Elephas maximus indicus: one gene and its partner. The protein of the gene in region 1 interacts with the protein of each later gene in a pairwise test. Links are inferred from orthologs where the notes say so. Each region holds a gene or a part of one and is shown on either strand. Other genes may lie near its edges.

Region 1 (7,914 bases):
CACAAGTGGGTGGCTTTAACAAAGACAAATTTATTCTCTCACAGTCTAAAAAAACACTATCTAGTGCTGTTATAACAGAAATACCACAAGTGGGTGTCTTTAACAAAGACAAATTTATTCTCTCACAGTCTAGGAGGCTAAAAATTCGAGTTCAGGGTGCCAGCTCCAGGGAATGGCCTTCTCTTTCTGTGGGGGAAGGTCCTTGTCATCCATCTTCTCTGGTCAAGGAGCTTCTCAGTGCAGGAACCCTGGGTCCAAAATACGCACTTTGCTCCTGGCACTACTTTCTTGGTGGTATCAGGTCCCCATGTCTCTCTCCTCGCTTCTCTCTTTTATACCTCAAAAGAGATTGGCTTAAGATACAACGTAATCTTGTAGATTGAGTACTGCCTCATTAACATCGTAGAGGTGGGATTTACAACACACAGGAAAATCACATCAGATGACAAAACAGTGGACAATCACACAATACTGGGAATCATGGCCTAGTCAAGCTGACACAATTTTGGGGGGACACAATTCAATCCGTAACACTTGCGTCTTTGGTTTTCTTCATTCTCCTTTGCTCCAAATGGGATGGGATCAATGGATGTATCTTAGATGGTCGCTCACAAGTTTTTAAGACCCCAGATGCTACTCACCAAAGTAGGATGTAGAGCATTTTCTTTATGAACTATGTTATGTCAATTGATCCAGATATCCCCTGAGACCGTGGCCCCCGGCCCTCAGCCCCAGTAACTCAGTCTCTCAATGTGTTTGGATGTGTCTAGGGAGCTTCTAGGACTTTGCCTTAGTCAAGCTGTATTGACTTTCCCTATATTGTGTATTGTCTTTCCCTTTATCAAAGTTGACTCTTGTCTACTATCTAGTTAGCAATTTCCCCTCCCTACCCTTTCTCTCCCTCGTAACCATCAAAGTTTGTTTTTTTCTGCGTGTAAACCTTTCTTTGAGTTTTATAATAGTGGTCTCATACACTATTTGTCCTTTTGTGATTTACTTATTTCACTCAACATAATGCCCTCCAGATTCATCCACGTTATGAAATGTTTTGCAGATTCATCACTGTTCTTTATCGTTGCATAGTATTCTATTGTATATGCACCATAGTTTGTTTATCCATTCAACTGTTGAAGGACACTTAGGTTGTTTCCATTTTTTTGCTATTGTGAATAATGTTGCAATGAACATGGGGGTGTGCATATGTCTAATTGTGTGATGGCTCTTATTTCTTTAGGATATATTCCTAGTAATGGGATTGCTGGATCATACGGTATTTCTATTTCTAACTTTTTAAGGAGGCACCATATTGTTTTCCATAGTGGTTATATCATTTTACATTCCCACTAGCAGTGCATAAGAGTTCCACATAGACTCTTTAATGACTAGTTTTCTCACCTGTAAAATGAGAATAATAATAGTATGTATCCCATAGAAGCGGGTGAGGGTGTGTGAAAAGCTTAATGATGCACTCCAAAGCTGGAATTAGCTGTTCTAGTCACAAAGCCTTGGGACCAGCAGAAGGGTGTGGGGGGAGGGAAGGAGGAAGACTTCCTTTTAGCAGAGAACTTTGGAGTTCCTCCCATCACTTCCTTCCCCAATTTCTCCAGCCCACAGCCAGCATGGCCATCTGCCCAGGGCTGCCCTGGGTGGACCAGAGCAATTGGGAAAGGAAGACCTCCTGTGTGGTAGACTTGAGCTGGGCTTGAGAGAGGGGAGAACTTGTCCAGGTAAAGAAGTTCAAGGAAGGCATGCCAGAAGGGAGGCACAAAAAATGCAGCAACATTTTGGAGGTAGGAGTGGGAAGGGGGTTTTGGTGAGAGGGAGGAAGCCTGTTTGGAGTAGAAATTTGTCATAAAAGGTTAAGGGAGCAACACCTGGAGAGTCATGGAAGGGAGCCTGGTAGTCAAGTTTTCTGCCAATAAGAGGGTACAAAAGGGCTCTAGTCTGCTTCCAGAACTAGAGACATCACCCCATTTGACAGATGGAAACACTGAGCCCAGGGATGCTGAGTCAGTGGCTTCACAGAGTTAGTGTCACCCAGTGCAGTAACTCATGGTGTAATACCCACCCCCACCGCCATGGATTTCTTCCTGTGCCAGACCATACAAAATCCCTAGTAACGTTTTTTGTACTAATGCTCCTAGTAAATCATAATTCTTGTATATCACTCCTTTTCCTTTAATTACTACTTCATTTTCAAAAAAAGTTACGATACAGGTTTACAGATGCTAATTACAACAATGTTGTAGCTAAAACACCAGGAAATTTGGCCAAATCAGCAACTAGAAAAATACCAGCAGCAATGAAAAAACCAGCACGTGCTTGTAGCATGTGCAGATGAAACCATGTGACTCGAAGGATCATTGTAATTGGGTAATAATGACCGCTCTGACCAAAAGACATTAGAAGGTTCAAAAAGTGAATAATTAGCATAGAGCTTTAGCCTTGTAGGTATATTGATACATGTAAGCTGGGCTTACAAAAAATGTTTTTGCTGTTATAGCTAACTACAGGGATATTGTTATAAAAAATAACAAATTTCTGTTGAGACGCAGCACAAAAATTTTATAAACAGTTATTTTGGTGTCACCTCCTCTGACAGTGTCACTGGGTGTGGTCCATGCCACCTGGGCCCCCCTAATGTTGCCACTGGGCTGAGTCAGTGATGTTAGAGGTGGTGAAACCACTGGATTGAGAAATACAGCCATAGTATATAGCCTTGGGGGTTTAAGGTGATATTTTGCCCCATTAGCTGTCTTCAGCTGAAAGCAACAGAAAACCTGACTTGAGGAGCCTTCACCGCTAAAGACTTTCTTTCATTAGCTCAAACCAGAAGGAGTCTGGAGGTGGGGCGGCGGGGGGCTTCTAGGAGCAGTGCAGCAGCGCCAGCCCCCCTGCTCTGCAATTCTCCCCCACGTCTTCTCTCTCTCTCTTTGAATTAAAATTACTTATGTTCAGAAAAACACTTGAGGAATCATGTGTTCTCTCCCCGGTGGCTGTTTCAGAAGCCTGGGTGGGCCCATCTCCCTAAACCCCAGGCACGCATAACTGGCACTTGGGAGCTTGGCGAGCCTGCTTCTGCTTCAGCTCTCATCTATCTTATCATTCCCGCCAATTGTAAGGGAGATACCAGCAAGGTAGTGATTTGTGGATGGTCCCTGACTCATCCCTTTTTGCCAGGCTGCCCTGCTGGCATCTTCTGCTGAGTGGGCACCTGGCTCCTCAGGGCTCTAGCCCAGGGCTCTTTCCAAGGTGGTACCAGACAGTGCCTCCAACACCTGCCCAACCGAACCAGAAATTCCACAAGTGTTCTCAATGCCATCCCCTTTCCAAAGGCTGGGGGTGGCAGATGGGGAAACTGAGACTCAGAGAGTTGGAGGGTTTATTGAAGTCCCTCAGCCACTGAAGTGTGTAGTGCCCAAGCCAAACAAAACCCGGAGCCTCAACCTCAGTTTTCAAACTCCCGCCTCCGTCTCTCTCTCAGTTCAACCATGTTCACGAAGCCTTAAGGCTCCACCTCCAGAGTGGGCCTCCCTGGCCCACAGTGTCTAATCTGGAGACTTGGGGGCAGTGCCTGTGAGGTCGCAGGCTGTTCTTCCTTGGCTAGATGCCCACTCATCCCCACCTCTATGTTCCTACAGCCCCCCAGAGTACAGCTGTGTCTGCCCTGAGAATGTGAGCTCCTTGAGGGCAGGACCTGGTCTGGGGCACAGAGCAAAGTTTGATGAAGGATAGATGTCCAGGCCTAGATGACACCCTCCTGAATAGATTCCTGCTGAGGAGTAAAGAGTCTAGCATTTTTGTGCTGGCCTGGCAGGGAGTGGATCTGGCTGGACTGGTGGGAGACAGAACCTGAAGTTCCTGGGCTCTTCTTGCCCACGCCTTTAGTGGGCCCCAAGCTCTAAAAGGAGTCCTGGTGGAGCAATGGTTAAGCACTCAGCTGCTAACCAAAAGATTCGCAGTTTGAATTCACCCAGAGGCTCCTCGGGAGAAAGACCTGGCAATCTGCCCCTGTAAAGATTAGAAAACCCTCTGGGGCAGCTCTACTCTGTCACTTGGGTTTACTATGAGTTAAAAATTGATTCAATGGCACCTAACAACAACAACAAGCTCCCTAAATGTATGGCTTCTGAGAATGTCCCTGCCCCTTCTCAGGTTGAGACACCCCAGCAGGGGGCCGCCACTAAAGGGCAAGCAGAGGCAAGCAGGGAGAGTGGCAGGTGGCAGGCAGGGCTGCATAGAAGAGCACAGCGGCTCCACTTCCTGTGAATGAAGGCCCTAGTGCCTGCCCCAGGGGAGGTTGCACAAACCTTCCTGTGCAGGCCTCAGGCTGCCTGCCTCCCTGGCCTGAGTCCCAGCCTGCCTCTCTCAAGAGCCGCTGCCTCCTGCCTGGGGCTGGCATCTCCTCTCCCTGCCCTGGAACTGGGCTGTGTTCTCTATCACCCGCTGGGCTGGAGAGGGGCTGGGCCGGACACCGGGGCCCGCCCTCTCATCACTGGGCATTGCTCCTTCCTCATTTTGCTGCGGATTCTAGCCCCAAACAAAACAGGTTGAGCCCTTTCCCTCCCTTCAGCAGTTCTGGCTTGCAGCTGCCTTCTGAGCTGCTGCAGACGGTGACAGCCGGGGAGAGGGGCTTGGGCCAGCCCTGCCGACACTGGGCACTGGACAGTGCTCCTTGCTCTTGGCCCTCAGACGGCCCTGCCTGGGGCAGGAGAGCTTGATTTGCCACAGTAGAGCCCAAGGATGATGCCCCAGCTGCACTTCAGAGATGCCTTTTGGGTGAGTGAAGGCTGGGGGCGCGGGGGAGGGCATTGAGAGAGTGGAATAGGCTCTGGGGAAGCTGAAATTTTCCATGGAAGTTGGAGGGGGATATAGCTCCCAGATGCAGGCTGTCTCATAAAAGTAGTGATTGATATACAACTTTGTCATGGAGGTGGTCTAGGCTACTTTCCCTTCTGAGCTGGAAGGCGAAGGGGGTACTGACTTCCCTGCAACTTCACCACCATGGGCAAGGGATGTCCTCTGCACTTCCAGGACTGGTTTTTCCTCTGAGAGACCCCTCCCCCACAGCAGGACCTTTTTAGGAGAGTCTAGCATGCGTTTTTTTTTTTTTTAGCATGCAGGTGGGGGCTTGAGGAGGCCATGTGGGGTGGAGGAGAGGGTGTCAGGTTCGGGCACCAGAAAAACTTGGTTCATACCTTGGCTCTGCAATTGTAGGTGTCTGAGCCCCACCTTCCCCATCTATACAGTGAAGATTGAAAAAAAAAAATTTTTTTTTTTTTTTTTAGTGAAGATAGATAATAATAATAAATATATCAAATGAACGGGAGGATTAAACAAGGTGAACTAATGTAATAATGCCCCCAGAATGTTGCTGGCACACCAAATGGTAATTCTCCTTCCCTCACCCAACACCTTTTCGTTTGGAGACCTTGGGGGTCTTTCAAGGTAGCAGGATGGGCTGGGCAATTCCTTGCTCGCAGTATTAAATCCAGCACAGGCCTGAAGAGTCCTCCTTCCCTCCCTGGGAAATAGCTGGCTGGCTCATGGAGGTAAAATGGCTTGGCCCAGGTCACAGGGCTAGTAAGCCCAGTTTGGATCACAGATCCCCTCAGCTTTTTTCCAGCTGTCCTTTAACCATCCCCTCTGCTCCTTAAGCCTGGCTGTCCCCAGGGTGCTCCTTCCAACCCTGCAGAGGGCTCTCTGGTCTTGTTGTGTTCAGCAGGCTCAGCCCCAGCCAACAGCCTGGCCCTCCCCAGGTCCTTTCTTGGGGCCAGGAGCCAGAGAGATGAGAGCTAATAATGAGCCAGGCCTGCCTTCCTTCTCTTTTGGACCACACTCTGCTCAGGGCCGGTGGCCATTGTGTAAGTGGCCTGATCCCACCTTCGTTAACTGCACAGTGGGCAAAAGCTTAGGCTGAGGAGGGCACTCTGCCCCTCTCGGGGCCTCTGTTGCCCCTTCTTCACAAAGAGGGGCTGGGACCAGCCCAGAGGAGCTGGTTGGGCTCATTTTGAACACCAGGGTGTTCTCTGCTGGACTGGCAGCTGGAGCCCCAAGTTGGGGGCTGGGGGTGGGGGCAGAGAGTCACCACGTCATTGCCCTGACTTGGAGTCTAAAGTTAGGGGAAGGGGTAGAGCCTGGAAATGCAGGCCGCCAGCCCAGGCCAGGCTAGGAGACCCTCACTGTTCTGTCCCTGCCCAGAGACCCTGGGCTCATCTTCCCTGGGATAGAACTGAGGCAAGGAGCAGCCCCCATGACAGGATCTGGGTGGGAGGAAGGAGGGGGAGGGGACTTAAAGAAACAGGGTGTGGCAGCAGCAGAAGCAAAAGCAGCAGCAGTGGCGAGAACCCAGCCCATCAGCGGTGGGTTCCTCCTGAGCAGTGGCATCCCATCCATGCTGAGTGCTTACCCCATGTCCGAGTGGCTGTGTACCTCGTGGCCTCCAGGTACCTCTCTCCTCCATGGCTGCTCCCTGGGCTGGGTGAGGCTGAAGCTTTCCCAGGGAAGGCCAGACGGAGAAGGGGAGAGAAGAGGCCAGCAAGAGCCTCTCAGATTCAGCCTGGGCAGACGCCCCAAAGTCACTGTCAGTATCACTTGCCCCAAGAGCTCTGAATTCTAACAGCCCTGGTGATGTTCAGCCCAGCCCAGCCATGACGACAACTAACATTCACTGAGCACCAACGATGTGTCAGGCGCTGTTCTCAGGCCTGTGTATGTATTAATTCATCTAACCTGCACGGCCAGGCAGTGGTGCTTTAGCAGTAGGATTCTCACCTTCCATTGGGAGACCGGGGTTCAAATCCTGGCCAATGAACCTCAAGTACAATGAACCGTCTGTCAGTGGAGCCTTGTGTGCTGCTATGATGCTGAACAGGTTTCAGAGGAGCTTCCAAACTAAGTCCAAACTAAGATGAACTAGGAAGAAAGGCCTGGCAAGCTACTTCCAAAAATAAGCCAATGAAAGCCCTATTGATCACAACTATCTGGTCTGAAACCAGGGGATAGATTACCCAATAAGCAAGGTACACACAGGCTTACTTGTGTTTACTTACTAATCTCCAGTGCACAATTTCACATAGGCTTCACCACAGCAAAGATCTGGTGAAAAAGAGGTGAAATTGTGCACTACAGATTGGCGAGTAAGCACAAGCAAGCCCGTGCATACCTTGTTTGTTGGGTAATCTGTCCCTTGGTAATTATGGGGCTGTTGAAGGACTGGACAGTGTTTCGTTCCATAGTGCATTGGGTTGCCATGAGTCAAGGGCTGACTCTATGGGAGCTAAAAACAATCCTCACAGCAACCCAGGAAGTAGATGCTATTGTCATCCCTGTTGTTCAGATGAAGAAATAGAGACACAGTGAATTTAAGCAACTTGCCCAAGGTCACATAGCTGGGGTTAAGGCAACAGGCTGGTTGTGCTACATTTTTTCTTTATTCATTCAGCTGATCACTGGATCTTTGGGCCTCTGAGTCTACATTCGTGAAATGATGGGGAAAATTCTGTTCTTTCTACTTCCCAGAGGGGTAAGAGGGTCAATTTATAGACGAATCTGCAAAACAGACAAAAACACACAGCTCTGACTGAAGTGGGCATTTTAGGGACAGACCTGGTCTGTTTGTCCCCACCCCCACCCCCACTTTCCCACTACACCCAGCCTGGCAGCAGCGCACTGTCTGAAAACCACTAGTCTTTAAGTAAACCCATTGCCCAGGAGTTGGTCTCATAACAACCCTACATGACCGAATAGAACTGCCCCATAGGGTTTCCAAGGAGCAGCTGGTAGATTTGAAGTGCTGACCTTTTGGTAGCTCTTAACCACTGCGCCACCAGGGCTCCAGTCTTTCAAAAGTGGAAGGAAACCCCTAAACTGGAAGGATCTTGTCTAATACTACAGTCTTCAGTTACCTAGCCA
Region 2 (8,591 bases), on another chromosome or scaffold:
CCCCAGGACCCGCACCTCCCCCTCGCCTCCTTGGTCTCCATCAATGTGGACAACGGGCACCTCTTCGCTCTCAGGTCGCTGGATTACGAAGCCCTGCGAGCCTTCGAGTTCCGCGTGGGCGCGACAGATGCAGGCTCCCCCGCGCTGAGCAGCGAGGCGCTGGTGCGCGTGGAGGTCATGGACGAAAACGACAACTCGCCCTTCGTGCTCTACCCGCTGCAGAACGACTCTGCGCCCTGCACTGAGTTGGTGCCCAGGGCTGCCGAGGCGGGCTACCTGGTGACCAAGGTGGTGGCGATGGACAGCGACTCGGGCCAGAACGCCTGGCTGTCCTACCAGCTGCTCAAGGCCACTGAGCCCGGACTGTTCAGCGTGTGGGCGCACAATGGCGAGGTGCGCACAGCCAGGCTGCTGAGCGAGCGCGACGGGGTCAAGCACAGACTCATCGTGCTGGTCAAGGACAATGGCGAGCCACCGAGGTCGACCAGCGTCACGCTGCACGTGCTCCTGGTGGATGGGTTCTCGCAGCCCTACCTGCCGCTGCCAGAGGTGGCCCTGGATGAGGCTCAAGCCGACTCGCTCACCGTCTACTTGGTCATTGCGTTGGCGTCGGTCTCGTCGCTCTTCCTGTTCTCCTTGCTCTCGTTCATCGCTGTGTGGCTGTGCAGGAGGAACAGGGCCGCCTCGGTGGATCGCCGTTCGGTGCCTGAGGGCCACTTTCCGAGCCACTTGGTTGACGTTAGCGGTACCGGGACTTTGTCTCAGAGGTACCTCTATGAGGCGTTTCTGACTGGAGGCTCCGGGACCAATGAGTTCAAGTTCTTGAAGCCGATTATCCCCAACTTTCCGCCCCAGGGCCCTGGAAAAGAAATAGAGGAAAATCCTTCCTTTCTCAATAGCTTTGGGTTCAGTATTCAGTGACCATGATTGACTTTTATATTCCATGTGCATATTGTTTTATGGCTCTTCCAAACCAATGTTTATTTTCCCCAATTTGTGTGTACTTTAAATTGAACTGATATTAATATTTTCTCATATTCTCCTGAATTTTGCTTTTAAATGAAAGTTTATCTTTATTAGTAGTTGTAATGAGATTGTAATTTACTCTCTAACCCAGGAGATCTAATTTATAATTAATTTGCCTCCCTAAATTACAACACCAAATCACTTTCTTTCTGTGTCCCCAACCCCCACCCCAGTTGAACTTTGATCCCAAATTATGCTTATTGTAAAATAAAACTGACCACTTTGGAAGTAATTCAAGTGTTCAAGCATTTCTTCATTTGATTCTTTTTTGTGGTTTTTCTTGTAGTTTAATATTGGTTGCTGTTTAGAAATGTCATTTTTCTTTCTTTAGGTCCACTGCGTTTTCTTGATTAATGTTTTGAAATATTTAATACTATTGAAAACAAACCTGAATGGTCATGTCCTGTGATACAACCCTAAGTGTAATTATCTAATTAGAAAGGCTGGAAAGCAAGTGTCTCAGTATCTTTTGTTTATACAGCCTGGAAAGTAATTATGAAGGTGTATTAATATTGTGACCACTCACAGATTCTTGGGATATGAAATTACAGTTTTACAAAGCTCTAGGACACTCCACTGGAATGCAGACATCTAAACAATAATTTGGGTAACATAAAGTGAACTTGTGTGTTAATGTGTATAATATTTTGCCTGTGTTCTCTCAGAATTTAACGTGAGAATTGGACACTGGGCACTGTTTTCCAAGCTTTTTAAACCATAACCAGTAGTAAAATTGTTTTATATATTATGTGACATACAGACATAATAGAGAAGTCTTATGAACAATGTTTAGCCTTTTGTGATGGAATTTGAAATTGCCTATGCTATTCTATTCTTTCTAATTATCAAATATGGTCATGATCCACTAAACTGATTTCAAGGCCTGCTAATGGGTAGCAATCCAAAGTTGGAAAACCATTTTTCTCAGAGATATAAAACTATGATATTCACTAGTGAATGACTCAAATGTAGAGACCATTGTGAAGTATCAATATATAGTCTTTTAGGGTTCTCATGTAAAAACTTTTAAAACCATTGTAAGGGAAACAGTTTAATCTCATGCTACACAGGCATCAACCAACTTCTCTTGCCTTTAATGATCTTACTAGTTACAGAAGAAAAAGCCTTCATGGCTGGGGGAGATTTCCCATGAATTTCACTTAAAAGTCACTCAAGTCTACACGTTACGGAAGGAAAATACAGTTAAACAAGACGCGTAAGAGTACAGAGAGAAAGGACGTGTGTGAGAGAGCAAGCAGGCACAGGAAAGAGGAAATGAATGGGGGTGAGTAAAGTGATTGCTTCTAATAACAGACTAGAGTCAGTGCAGAAAAACACCTCTTGAAGATATTTTAAAGCTTTATCTTAGCACTGTAGAGGGGCTGTCTATTGGTCAATCGATAACGCCAGGAAGTACAATCCCTTTCTCTAGCATACCTGAGATAACCATTACTGTGGAACAAACCAGTGTGGACCTATTAATTATTCTTTGCATTAAATATAAATGGGGAGAACAGAAGTCAACTATGGTGCATGTAGGCTAATTGAATCTTAATTTTCTGTTTTCAGAAGTGGAAGTAAGCGCAATTTTTCCCCCTAAAGGAAAACTTCTTTTTTTTTAGAACAAAAACTCACAAGATACTGGTTAATCAATAAAGATTACCCCCTGTACAGGGTTATTGCTTCTTAGCATACCAGACGAGATACATAGAACACTGAAGGTGAAAAATAAAGATAGCCATTTCTCATACATGAGAATTAATTACTAATCAAAAAGACCGACAAGACCATAACAGCTGTTGGCGAGGATGTGGAGAAATTAGAATCCTAATGTATTACTGGTGGGAATGTAAAATGGTGCAGCCACATTAGAAAACAGTTTGGCAATTCCTCAAAATTTTAAACATAGAGTTACCCTGTGACCCAGGAATTCTACTCCTACGTATCTACCCAAAACAATTTAAAATGTATGTCCACACAAAAAAACTTACACCTGAATGTTCATAATAGCATTATTCATAATAGCCAAAAAGTGGAAATAACCCAAACGTCCATTAACTGACAAGTGGATAAACACAATGTGGTACCTCCCTACAAGAGAGTTGTTATTACTCAGCAATAAAATGGAATGCAGCACTGATACACGCTACAGCACAGATGAACCTCAAAAACATTACACTAAGGGGAAGAAGCCAGTCATAAAAGTTCACATATTGTATTATCCCATTTATATAAAATGTTCAGAGTAGACAAATTTATGGAGACAGAAAGTAGATTACTAGCTTAGCGGTTGCTTACGGCTGGCGGGGAGGGATGGACAGTGACTGCTAACAGGTACAAGGTTTCTTTTTTTTGGATGATGATGGAAATGGTCTAAAATTAGATTGTGGTGATAGTTGCACAACTCTATAAATATTCTAAAAGCCATTTAATTGTATACTTTAAATGGGTGGGCTTTATGGTATGATAGATAACAAAACTTTAAAAAATAAAGGTGCCATGCTCCTAGCAGCCTGTGGTCCCAAGTAAGCTGAGCCTTATCTCATCTATAATGGGGCAGGAGGACAGAGCTATTCAGATGGCAGATGGAGAATCTAACAGGTACAAAAACAGAGGCAAGGACCAGGTACTCGTCTACTGTTCAATTTTTTCCCCATATATGAGCAGCAGGACTTCTTTATTTATGGAAAGAACTATGCATTTCCTGACTCTAATGAAGAGTGGCCAGGCCCAGGAGCTCAGATGCCAGGCACAAGTGACTAAATACTTGTCCTGAAACATAATGCTAAAAACAAATTTTGCTCTTTCACTTCAAATACGTCATTTATACATAAATTTAAACCAGTTCATAGGAATCAAGTAGCAGACTGTAAATTTAGGAAGTGGTCTTATATCCACTGGATATAATATGGAATTAGCCAAGAGTATGGGAAAGAAAGCACTTAAGTATATTTTAGCTTACGAACACATCCTTCTTCTCATCTTCCTTTCCACTTCAAGTCGTACCACCACTTCTGGCCCCACCGTTTAATATAACAACACGTTCTCCCAGTCCCAAGGTCTTCACCTCTACTCCAGTTCAATCATTAATGAATGTATAGATACATGCTATGCTTTTCACCACCCAGAATCGATCCTTCTGTGAAATAATAATTTCAGATAACTTCCTCTAAGAACACAATTTTCTATCCTTTTAACTCTTTCATCTTCTACTTTCATTGCATCTTGTCTTTGACCTTATCAGGATTTCCATTCCAGGATGCTGCTACTACCTACCCAACTCCTTTCTTGTTCCAATTTCCTTTATATTTTACTGATACCCAGGCTTATCCTTCCCAATCTCTCTCTCACCCATATTCTCAATTGTCTTGTTTAGTTGTCCCATATGGTGAAACTCTATCCCAATGAATGTAATTGTCTGCATTCTCCCATCTTACCCTTGGGACATTACACTTTATAAGAGAAAATTACAAAATTATCAATACTGCTGGTATGATAAATTTTTCACATCAAACTTAGACTTTCAGCAACAAGAAACTCTTTTATATTTTCCTAATGATGCTTTCTCTTCTATTCTTCATAACAAATATTTCAAATGTATTTAACTTAAATTTCTCACCCTACCACTTACATATTCCCTTTTACAGATGAACCTGCCTAAAACGTTACAGAGAAAATAGAATCCATCAGATGAGAATTCTCTCAGTTTTCTGACCCCCAAACTACAGCTTTGACAACATCTGTATCTCTTCTTCCCCCTGCTAAGGTCCCTTCCACCTATCTAAGTGCAATTCCTTCATACATTATCTCGATCTCATCTTTAACCATCTTCTGGGGGCTTCACGTTGATTATCTCCTTTCTTCTGTATCTTAAATACTCCCCTCTCTACAGAACACCAGACATGGACATTTTATATATGTTAAGTCTCTCTAATCTTAAAAAAAAAAAAAAACTCAAGAGTCTAAATTTTCCTCCAGATACAGATCTATTTACTTTTTTACAACCAAATTTCTTGAAAGAGTTGTCTATCCTCATTTTCCCTCCCTCATCACTTTTCAGTCAAGCACAATCTAATTTTCATCACAACCACTCTACTGAAACTCCCATTGTAAAGGTCATCAAAGATTTCTGTATAAGTTAAGTAAGGTTACGCTGCTGAAACAAAGAGTACAGAGGCTTGTAGAAGGTGTATCTCTTTCATGTAACAGTTCAAACGTAAATGATTAGGTAGATAGAGCAGTTTTGCTCCTCACAGTCTTTTTGGACCAAATTTTGCTCCCAGTACTTGTTCCAACATTATTTATGGCAACGTCATAGTCTGCATGGCCGTAGCTGGGTCAATGCCACACTAAGGGTCTGGCTGATTGGAAAAGAGGTGGTACACCAAGATGTCTTCCATTCCAGACTGAAAATTGCCAAACCAAAATTCTGCTCACAGCCTGTCTGTGAGAGCTTAATTCACTTGGCTACCCCCAGCTACAAAGAAGGCTGAGACAGGCAGGCCATCTGAGTAGCCACGTGTTGGGTACACTTCTATTACTATAGAAGAAACGCAAAAGAGATTTTGGTAGACATTCATCAGAATCTTCCACAATGATTGTCTTCTTAAATTCAATGGACAATTTTAATTCTGACTTTTCTGAAGCATTTGATAATATTGAGTTTCCTCATCTCCTTGCAATTTTATTTGCTTAAGTTTCACAATATTGAACTCGGGACCTTCCCTCTGTCTTTTCAAACACACTTCTTACTCTCTCTCCTCTAAATGAAGGTATTTTCTCAGAGTTCTGTCCTAAGCCCTCTTCTATTCTTACTTGACACACTTTCGCTTGGTTATCTTCGTGCTCTTACAGTTTTAATCACCATATATATCCCGATAAATCCCAAAGTCCAAAGTCCTTATCTCCAGCCTAGGTTTACTTCCTATGCTTTACTTACACACACACACACACACATTCCCCACAGGGGGGTGTATATTCTACAAGCATCAAAGTCAGTATCGGCATGTCCAAAACTGAACACATAATCTTCTTCCACCTCAACTTGCTTTATTTTTCAGCATTCCCAGTTTTAGTGAATGATACTACTAGCCACCCAATTGCCAATCCAGAAGTGTGGTAGTAATCAGCCTTGAGTCTTTCCTCTTTTTGTCCCCATGCCACCTATCAATCACCAGGTCCTACATATTTCATATCCTAAATACATTTCTAATCTTCCCTCTTCTCTCCACCCACACTGGCATTACCCTGGTACAGGCCACCATCGTCTCCTAACTGGTCTCTCTGGTTCCAGTCTCACTCCCTGAAATTAATTCTCCATATTGCAGCAAGGCAGATATTTCAGAGAGGCAGATGTGAGCATGTTAATCATTTCTTAAGTGCTGTATTGTATTTTAAATGCCTTAGGATAAATTAAAACATGCATGATACGACTTATGTAATTATTCATGTTCTAGCCCTGCTTTTACCCCTAATCACAAGTATAAATTCTCCTCTTCCATGGTTCAAGGTTCAAGACATACTGAAAACGCCTGTGAGAAACATCCCTCCCTCTCCTGGCTAGCTCCCTCAGATCACAACTTATAGTTCACTACCTCAGGAAAGCTTTCCCTGATGACCCAAGTCTGGGTTAGGTTTTATTTATTTTAGTTGTTGACAGATACTTACCTAGCACTTGCTAACCACTTAATAAATATTAACTCATTAGGTTCCTACAGTGATAATCCTAGGAGGTAAATGCTATCATCAACCCTATTTTGCAGGTAAGGAAACAGAGGCACATAGAGGCTAGGTAACTTGTTCAAGTCTATAGCTAGTGAGCAGCAGAGCCAGGATTCTGATGCAGACATCTTGGTTCCAGAGTCTATGTTCTTAACCACTATGATATGCTGTCTCGCAGGCACAAGCTGTTCTTTTTGAGTATTTCACATTGCCCATGCATGCACTATGACATATTTTAATTATCTGTCTGCCAATATTTGTGGCCTGTGAGCTCCATCAAGACAAGGGCTATATCTTATTCATGTCATGTCCTTAGAGCCTAGTGTTGTGCCTGAAAACTGAGAAAGCATTTGAATACTTGCTTAATGGAAGCATAAATAAAGGTATTTAAAATTATTCCTTTTGTTTTACTCAAGTATAAACTCTATTTTGAAGATCGACTCAACTAAGTTTAGCAAGAAAAATATTTCTGTGCATAAGCAATAATTTCACAAATTTTCAGAAATGGAAACTAAATGCTCTTATGATCTTATTTCATATTATAGTACTGTCCATTTCTTACTTCTTTCTACCTCCCTGTCAGGGATATCGTCTCTGTATATCTTCAGTGATGTCATGCTCTGCTTCATGCTTGAAATGTTCTCTACCCCTGAGCAACAATTCATATATGTACGCTGCTTAAGGCCAATCCAAATTTCACTTGCTGTGTGTACACTTGTCAGGAGTGAGAAAAATATAGGCATACTTGGGTGCCCATGCCCATTTTCTGTGTATTCACTGCCCATGAAACTAGTCTTGCTACATTATCAGCTATTTACTACTTGTTTTATATTTTTTCCTTTTAAGTGTTAAAGCTTTTTAAAGAATGTGGACCATGTTTTATAGTTCTTTACATATACCACAAATAAATGTATAATCGGGATTTAATTTGATGAAATGACTTTACTGATATATATGCTAGTAGGTACATGGACATCTACGGAAGAAATACAAGAAATTGGCATTGCCTCTGAGAATGTAGACTGGACCTTAAGTGAGGGAAAGAGACTTATACTTAACTGTGTACCATTTTGTGATGTTTGATTTTCCCAACTACACGCACGTATTTTTTAAAATAGCAATGTGATAAAAGTAATGACATTACTAACTATAAATGGCTGAACTCAAGTATTTACAAGAATGGAGTAGAGAATATATTTGTAATTACTCAAGAAATGGCCTGAAAAAAATATTATTTCTTCACCCAAAGACATTAATGGATCCTTCTTGCCAGGCCTTCAAAAAAGTGGCAATTAAAATGCTGTGTACACACCTTGCTTGGATCCTGATTAAAAGCAAACAAACAACAATAAAATAAATTGTGGAGAAAACTGGAGGAAAACAAACAGACTAAGTTTAAATTATATTAAGGAATTATTGCTAAGTTTGTTGGTTGTGACAGTGGTATTGTGGCTATATTTTAAAAGTTCTTATCTATTAGAGATACTGAAATATTCGGAGGAAACAATGTATGATGTCTAGGATCTGCTTTAAAATATTCCAGATGTGTTCATGAATTGCTTGTTCAAAGACACAAAAAATTTTAATGAAAAAATTTCGGAGACGCATGGTGGCGCTGCAGGATAAGATGAAAAACGATGCACGGGATGACTCTGTGGGCTTCGTCATTCAGGAGAACAGAGATCATCCGGTCCACTGAAAAGAGAGGCGTTAAAGGAGCTTCACCTACAGAGCCGCTGGAGGGTTGTATACCTTCCAGGGGGTTCATATAGAAAAATCAGAAATTCAGCCTTCCAGAATTAGGGCTGCAGTTTAAATTTTCCACACAAGTGTTTGCCTGAAGG

What was found.
Region 2: the proteins of PSTPIP1 (region 1) and protocadherin beta-14 interact in binary tests that used the Homo sapiens proteins (3 or more experiments, as listed by UniProt). The two-hybrid records come from large-scale screens. The link is inferred for Elephas maximus indicus from reciprocal best matches to the Homo sapiens genes PSTPIP1 and PCDHB14.

What each region holds. Positions count from the first base shown.
Region 1 is NC_064831.1:66,556,011-66,563,924, reverse strand, and holds the start of PSTPIP1 (proline-serine-threonine phosphatase-interacting protein 1), read left to right. Parts: upstream 1-4,286; 5' UTR 4,287-4,743; coding exon 4,744-4,779; intron 4,780-7,914. UniProt on the Homo sapiens protein: Involved in regulation of the actin cytoskeleton. May regulate WAS actin-bundling activity. Bridges the interaction between ABL1 and PTPN18 leading to ABL1 dephosphorylation.
Region 2 is NC_064820.1:154,542,366-154,550,956, forward strand, and holds the start of protocadherin beta-14, read left to right. Parts: upstream 1-4,998; 5' UTR 4,999-8,591. Other genes in the region: protocadherin beta-12-like, read left to right, coding at 1-921. UniProt on the Homo sapiens protein: Potential calcium-dependent cell-adhesion protein. May be involved in the establishment and maintenance of specific neuronal connections in the brain.